Mus musculus: one gene and its partner. The protein of the gene in region 1 purifies or fractionates together with the protein of each later gene. This does not show direct contact. Links are inferred from orthologs where the notes say so. Each region holds a gene or a part of one and is shown on either strand. Other genes may lie near its edges.

Evidence for each region. The genes of interacting proteins can lie anywhere in the genome.
Region 2: the proteins of Camkv (region 1) and Gpc4 purify together in Homo sapiens (affinity purification with mass spectrometry; 3 studies listed by BioGRID and IntAct, counting the BioPlex papers as one, with this or other methods). This does not show direct contact. The link is inferred for Mus musculus from reciprocal best matches to the Homo sapiens genes CAMKV and GPC4.

What each region holds. Positions count from the first base shown.
Region 1 is NC_000075.6:107,945,842-107,949,584, reverse strand, and holds part of Camkv (caM kinase-like vesicle-associated protein), read right to left. Parts: coding exon 3,721-3,743; intron 3,507-3,720; coding exon 3,368-3,506; intron 3,246-3,367; coding exon 3,125-3,245; intron 2,968-3,124; coding exon 2,892-2,967; intron 2,803-2,891; coding exon 2,666-2,802; intron 2,572-2,665; exon of another isoform or gene 2,504-2,571; coding exon 2,425-2,503; intron 2,206-2,424; coding exon 2,118-2,205; intron 1,842-2,117; coding exon 1,245-1,841; 3' UTR 1-1,244. UniProt on the Homo sapiens protein: Does not appear to have detectable kinase activity.
Region 2 is NC_000086.7:52,162,111-52,165,853, forward strand, and holds the start of Gpc4 (glypican-4 precursor), read right to left. Parts: upstream 2,814-3,743; 5' UTR 2,666-2,813; coding exon 2,506-2,665; intron 1-2,505. UniProt on the Homo sapiens protein: Cell surface proteoglycan that bears heparan sulfate. May be involved in the development of kidney tubules and of the central nervous system.

The sequences.
Region 1 (3,743 bases):
GGGCAGGACCACCATGGAGTGCCGAGCAAGGGCAAGGACCAGCGTGGCTGCCTGTTCAGGCTGTGGTAGGGTCTGACCAAGGGCACCTGCTGAGAGCATCCCTCAGGGAGCTGGGGAACTGTAGTCTACTTCCTCATCCCAGCCAGAGCTACTTCACATGGCTGAGCAATACCTCAGCCTCTGATGGTAGACAAAGAGGAAAAGCCTCCCCATATCGCTGCACTAAGAGCAGAAAATCTGCTGCTGTGAAAAGCATGCTCCCAACGCAGCCTATGAGGTGCTGCCACGCCTCCCTGGGAGGAATAGGATTTACTGCCTGAGCCTGCATGAGGTGGCTATGGCAAAGGTCTCTTTCTTGGTAATGGCATCTAGGAAGACGATGGGGGGATGGGGGGACACCAGCCCTCCCTATCCAGCTCACAGGAAGGAGCCAGATAGGCTGGGGCACTGTACTCTGTTCTCCTAGGCGTCGCTGCTGTGTCCGACATGTTTCTCTCTTCCTTTAGAGTCTCCTAAGAATCGGGATACAGAGCAACCCGCTACAGGACTCAGGAGGCTATGAAATAACACAAGGATCTTCAAGAGGGAAGATCGCCACCCCCACCCAGGGAAAAAAGATGGAAGCTTCTACCCATTCTCTCTCCCACTTCTGAGGATCCCCACAGCTAACATGCAATGCCTGCTCCCTACCACGTGACCAGACTTGACTTAAAGCACACTGCCCTAGGTTTTCTGCATCCTCTCTTGCACACTCCTAGAGCAGCCCAAACACCACAGGTACACACCTTCCCGTGCAGGAGCCTAACACTGCTGACAGGGCCTCGCTGGAGGACCAGCTCTCAGGGCAAGGCCACCCATTTAGGGCCTGGGAAAGGATGAGGTTTGCAGGGCCTGCCTGGGGGAGTGATGAGGCAGGGAGGGAAGGAGAGCAAGGACCCCCTGAGTATCCCTAGAGCAGCATCCCACAAGGAACAGAAACTGGTGAAGCTAGCGAAAGACAGAAAGCCACAAGGAATCCATGCAGGGGCTGGGGCTGGCCCTGCCTCTGGCCTGCCCGCCACTCACATACATCCACACAGGAGACAAGACTGCTCTCCCATGGCCCCCAGGCATGCCCCACTGGGATGAGGGAGCTTGGGGGGAGCTAGGGCATCATGCCAGTGACTCTATATACAGTGAGAAGCCCCTCATCCAAACTCCCACCCTCCTTCCCATCCCTCAAAACCCCCCAACAGGCTGCCCATTCAGCTCGTCTCCACCCTCTGAGACTCCTGGGCACATCCAGTAGCCTCTTCTCCTTTACTAGAGGGTGGAGCCTGGCCTGTGGCACCCTCTAGGGCTGTGCTGTCCGGCTGGGCCACAGCCGGCTCAGGGGTGGCTGCTGCCTTTGCAGCTGGCAGGGCACTGCTTTGAGTGGCGGGCACTGTGCTCTCTTCTGTGGCTGGTGTGGCTCTGCCATCAGTAGCTGGTGTAGCGCTTCTGTCAGTAGCTGGAGTGACACTCCCGTCAGTGGCTGGGGTGATGCTGCCATCCGTGGCTGGGGTGACGCTGCCATCTGTGGCTGGAGTGGCGCTGCCATCTGTGGCTGGTGTAGCACTACGATCTGCAGAGGCTATGTCATCGCTCTTGGCAGCACACCCAGCACCACCCTCTGTGGCTGCAGTAGCACTGGCCCCAGAGGCTGAGGCAGCTCCACCTGCAGCTGCAGCTGCAGCTGCAGCAGCGATGGCCCCACCAGCAGCCCCAGGAGTGGCAGCGTCTGAAGCAGACTGGGTCGCCGCTGTTCCAGACTGCTCTGGTGCCCGGAGCCGCTTCATGAGAGTGGTCACTCGGACAGCCTTCTGCAAGGAGGACAGTGAAGAAAGGTTCGTGGTGAGCTTCACTAGATCCACTCCTTCCAAACGGCTAAGCCCAGCCCCTTCTGTCGTGCCCCAGCTGCCGCTGGCTATCCAGCTACTCATTTCTTCAGCTCCTGATCACCGCGGCAGCTGCAGCCGCCTGTGGAAGCCTGAGAAAACTTGGTGTTCAGCCGAAGAGGTGCAGTAGCAGCAAGGAACTGTGGGGTGCAAGAAGAGGCACTTGGAACTGGGCCAAGGGGAATGCGAGCCAAAGCCTACCTTCCACTTGGCTCTGGCAAAGTTCTTCTCAATCTGGGCACAGACGCCATCCTTGATGTTCTTATCAGAAGCCGCGTTGCCGGAAATCCTAGAAAGGAGGCAAGTGCATCTGATGGGAATGGTCTGTGCCTCGTGGAGTCTGCACAGCCCTTCCCGGTGTGATGGAGGGCCACCAGGCAGAGTGTCTGGTTTGGCCAGAGCTCTAGAACGCCTTCCCTTGCCAAGACCTCAAGGATGCGGACTTCTGGTGTAAGACATTCAAAGCGCAACAGAGGCTCGCCCACTCCTCCCAGGGGGCCCTGCTCACCATTCGTGGGAGATGGCCTCTTCTGCGGTGATCCGCTGGTCTTGCTCCACCTCCATCAGCCTGGTGACCAGGTCTTTGGCTGGGGACAAAGCCAGGGATGGGCTAGGCAAGGGTGCCCCATCTCATTGTCTAGCTGTGAAGGATGGGCTGGGGAGCAGGAGTAGTAATCCAGCAGACGCTGAGAGCAGTGCCTCCCACCATGCAGCCCTATACTCTGCCCACAGGCCGGGTATCCCCTCACCTGCTTGAGAAATATCGTCCCAGTACGGAGAGTCAAACTCATAGTCACCAGCCAGGATCTTGCGGAAGAGATTCTTATCGTGGTTCTCATAGTCATCTTCTTCCACCTCCTCGTAGAAGGGCGGGTTGCCTGAAAGCCTACATGGAGTAGGGTCACCTAGGAGGGCCACAGACGTAATTGTCCAGCCCACCTGGCTGCAAGCCCAATTGTGTGCCCTGCCACTCACAGGATATACATGATGACGCCAATGGCCCAACAGTCTACAGGGCGACCGTACCGTTGCCGTCCTACCACTTCTGGTGCTAAAAAAAAAAAAGTGGTTATCTGCTGGTTAGACTCAAGTGTGGCCATATACAGCAGCATCTATACCCATTTCTTGGAATAGAGGCTTCTTCCCTACCCCAAAATCTCCCCCTGAAGGCTGTCCCTCAGACCATCCCCTGTCCCATCCCTCCTTGCCCAGATACTCCGGGGTTCCACAGGGCTCCTTGATAAGGCCATTCTCTAGCTTAGCCAGGTGAAAGTCGCTGATGACAATCTTTGAGTTCTTCAGCCTGTTGTAGTACACTAGGTTTTCCAGCTGTTCGGGAGAGAATGGTAGGAAGGGTGGGCAGAAGTCATCATGAGGGCCTCAGAAGCCGGACCAGAGCCCAGTGTGGCACTCATGCCAGCCCCAGCCCATCCCTCCGGCTCTGGCCTTACCTTGAGGTTCCTGTGCACAATCTTGAGCGAGTGCAAGTAGGCCACAGCCTCCAAGACCTGCCGCACCACGTTGCTCGTGTCTCGCTCCGAGTAGTAGCCCTGGTCCAGGATCCAGTCAAACACCTCCCTCCCCGTGGCCCTGAGGGACACCAGCCCCTGAGCCCGGCGTGGGCAGGGTCGGGGGTAGGACAGGAGCATTTGGGAGGCCTGATTTGTACCAGGCACTTGGCTGGGCAGGGCCCAGGGCCTTGGGACCCAAAGGGTTTCAAAAGTGGGTTTCTTTAGCTATAAAGGGAGGAAAAAGAAAAGACCCTAGGGACTGGGGAATCCTGGAACCCCAGTATGGTACTCACAGCTCCAGAAAGATGAAGTATTC
Region 2 (3,743 bases), on another chromosome or scaffold:
AGTCATTGACTTCCCCAGAACTGCCTCCCCAAATGGTCAAAATGATTTAAGGATAGTCCCCAAAAGGTGAGGCTGATGCGAGCACCTGGAGAGGCCAGGGTGATGGTAAAGACTACCCTGCTTCTAGACCAGCCATCAAAAGGTATTCACTGGGGTCTGTCTGTGTTGTGACAGTGTCCTAGACTCAAATGAATGCCTCTAACACTCCACATTTTTGAGCCATTCAGTCATGCATTTTTGTTATTGTTGAAAGTGGTGCGAAATTGCACTGCATGAGCTAAAGTCCTTGGTGGTCTTCCAAGGATTCCAGCTAAAAAGGCACTTCCTTTGTTCCTCAGGAGAATGCAGTCCAGTAGGTCACTGAAAGGGGGAAATAAAAGCAGCAGCCCTGGGAGGGAGATGAAGGACAAGACAAAAAGAATAAAATGTTTTGGGTGTGAGCACATTAGCTTCCATTTCCTGCTGCTGGGCACTAATAACTCCCTATCTTTTTTGGGGGGTCCAGATAGACATTTATACAAAGATGTACCTCAGGTATCTTCAGTGCCCGTGACAATCAAAGGGAACACCCATCGTCCCTGACCATCACCTTCCCAAATTCCTTGTCCATCAGACTGATGGCTGGGGATGCTGCCATCTCTAGAGACTGCACACCACAAACCTGAAGTACCTGGGGAGGGTGATTTCATAGCCCTCGGCCAAAATGCCTCTAGACCATCTCAGAGGCACATATTGTTTGTACAGGCACATGGAAACTTGTCACTGTCCCATTAAGTGCATAGCTGCATGCCTCCCTTCAGAATGTGGGAATGACAACTGTAACCTTCACGCCAATCATCTCTGAAGCACCCAGGCTCGAGCCGTGCAGGGCACAAAGACCTCAGGTCTGACCTGCAGAGCTCCCAAGCTTCTGCGGCTGCCGGTTCAATTCTCTTTTGCTGGCAGGGCAGGAGGAAGAGGGAAAAGAAAGGGGGCTTTTCAGAGCTCTACAACCAATAAAATCATGAGTCTGGGAGGACATACTTGAGTTCCCAAAAAGACAGGCAGCTGAAGGGCAAACAGCCTTTCATCAGTAGCCTGTGAGTTACTTGACAACTGCCAAGGTGCAGTGGACGCCTGGGCTACTACCAACAATTTCTTCAGTTCTATTTCTAGATGGAGCCCGATTACACTCTGAAAGTACCCAGCCACTTCCCTCAATTACTTTTGTAGTTTATATGTAATTGATGACCACACTTAATCTCCGAGGTTATTAATAGCCTTCCAAAAGATGACCCCCAAGTCTTCTAAAGCTTTTGGAAGCGCCTGGTTAAAATTACAGTATTTCCTTTGCTGGCTGCTGGCCCCCTGCCTGCCCCACCCGGGCAACCAGTACAGCGAGGCAAAGGCGCACTCTGCACACTTCCATGAATGGTTCGGAATGGAGATTTGGCCTTCGGGGCTCGAATCTCTAACGCCTCCGTTAGGTTAAGCTGGCCAAAAGCCAGTTAGATTCGTAGCTCCTTCAGAGTCTCCAGGGTGAACAAGCTACCTGTGCCGTTTCGGCCGCCAGCCCGCAGGGCTGTGCGCAACAGTTGGCGGCTTCAAAAATCTAGTACAACAGGGAAGGAGGACTAGCCCAGGCACTGCCACCAGCGGGCCTGGAGACCTCGGGAGCAGGAGGGGAGGGCATACCTGATGCAGCCTCCCCAGCGCTCTAGGAGGACTTCCCCCAAATACCATACACAACCCCCCGCAACCCCCCCAGCGCTGAAATCCGGTGAACTTTTTCAGAGGCAAAGCCATCTTCATTTGCATAACCATCTCCAAACTGAGATTTAGGTTTCCTGTAATCAGTCCTTTCAAAGGTCTGTAATTGAAAGTGCAATTAACCCTTAAAATGAGGTGAGAAAAGAGAAAAGGAAGGGAAATACCCGTTTTATCCAACACCTTCCGGAAAGCTGGAGACTTCCCAAAAGTCGGGATTTGAAGGAGTAAGAAGAGTTCGCTTTTTAAAGGTGACTTCTAAAGCCCTTGCAGCTCCTAAAAACTAAACCGTGTCAGCGGTGGAAGAGAGGCGGCGGGGAGAGGAATTTTAGGAGACCGTCAATGAGCGGCTCATTCAAGTCTCACGTTTTGCGCCCCTAGGAATCTGCAAACTCCAGGAGGTTCCCCACCCCGCCCCCACTCGGCCTCGTCGTCACCCACACAACAAAGCGGGGAACCCAGTAAAGAATTCAACCCGGAAAAGGCGAGAGAGCCCAAGCCACGCACGTTGAGGGCCAGAGTCCCTAGTGGCTTCCCGGGAGTGAGAGGGCTGGGGTGGGGGGCAGCAGCAAAGGACCTGGGTGGCACTGAATAAACCGGCGGCGCCCCTCCACTCGCGGTGCCCGCTCAAAGCCGGGGCTGGCTCTCCTGCCTGCCCGTTTCTCCCTCTCGGCTACCTGATGCGGCGTGGGGGGGGGCGCCCCTTTTCCCGGGGTGCCCACCGCTCGGTAATGGGGAGAGTGCAGGATTCCCACCTACCGTTGATCTCATAGAGGGGGGCATCATTCTTGTTGAAGCCTTTGGACACGTAGAGACGTCGCACTTCCGAGCAACTTTTCGACTTGAGCTCCGCAGCCAGCAGCGAGGCGCTGAGCGCGGCCAGGGTGCAGAGGAGCGCGAGCAAGCCTAAGCGTGCCATGGTGCGGACCCTGACGGACGCGCTCCCACCTTTAGGGGACAGAATGAGACCCGATGGAAAGCAGCGCTGCGGAGCGGGCGGAGAGGCGCGGAGTGAACACTCACGAGCGGAGCGAGAACCGGGGAGTTGAAGTTGGTAGTGAAGGAGGAGGAGGAGGAGGAGGAGGAGGGCAGGAGGAGGAGACGCGGGCGAAAAGTGGAGCTGGGCCTCGAGTCAGGCAACGGTCCCCGGTGCCAGGCGCCCAGCCGGGGTGCGGTACGAGGAAAAAGGCGTGGAATGGGCGCGGGACCCAAGGGACTAGGGAGAGGATCCGTGACCTCGGGACTCCGAAGGCTAGAGAACCCGGGCCAGCTAGCCAGGGGCGGAGGGGCTCAGGGAAGGAAGGGAAGGTGGCAGGCGTCGCAGAAGAGCAGAGTGTGGGCGGCGTCGGCGGGCGATCGCTGGCGCGGGGCTTCAGCCACCCGGCGCTGCTCCGCTCACCCAGCCCGGCTCAGCTCACTGCCCTCGGCCGCACGGCTGTGCCCTTCTCAGCTCTGCCGCTGATTGACTGGCCCGGCTCGCACAGCGAGGCTCCGCAAACTTGGCCAAGCGGGGCGGCCCTAAGGGAGGGAGGGGGCGGGCATGAGGGGGGGGGCGAGCCCGAGACAGGCGGGAGCACGCAGGGCCGGGCCGGGAGAAAACCTGGAAGCTGGGTTGGATCTGGAGCGGGCCAAATCCACTTCCTAGGGGGCCCGCACGGGGCGCGCGGCGCTCCCTCTTGCGACACGCCCTGCTGGGCTCCTCCCTCCTGCCCTCCTCTTCAGAGGCGGGGAACCTGCCCCCCGCCCCCCCCCCCAGCAAGAGAGGAAAGGGCAGTTTCTTCCCGCTTAAGGGGCCAAGTCTCAAGAGATCCTGGTGATCTGGATCTTGGGGCCTTGAGCCCCTGTCTGAGCCACAAGCCTTTCTCCACAGCCACTTGACAGGCTATCCCCATGGGCCTGAGCAGCACTTAGCCCTCCAGCCCCAATACCAGCCTCGCTGCTTCTACCCAGCATCCAGGGCCACTTCTAACCAACACCTGGGCAAGGAAGGCACACTC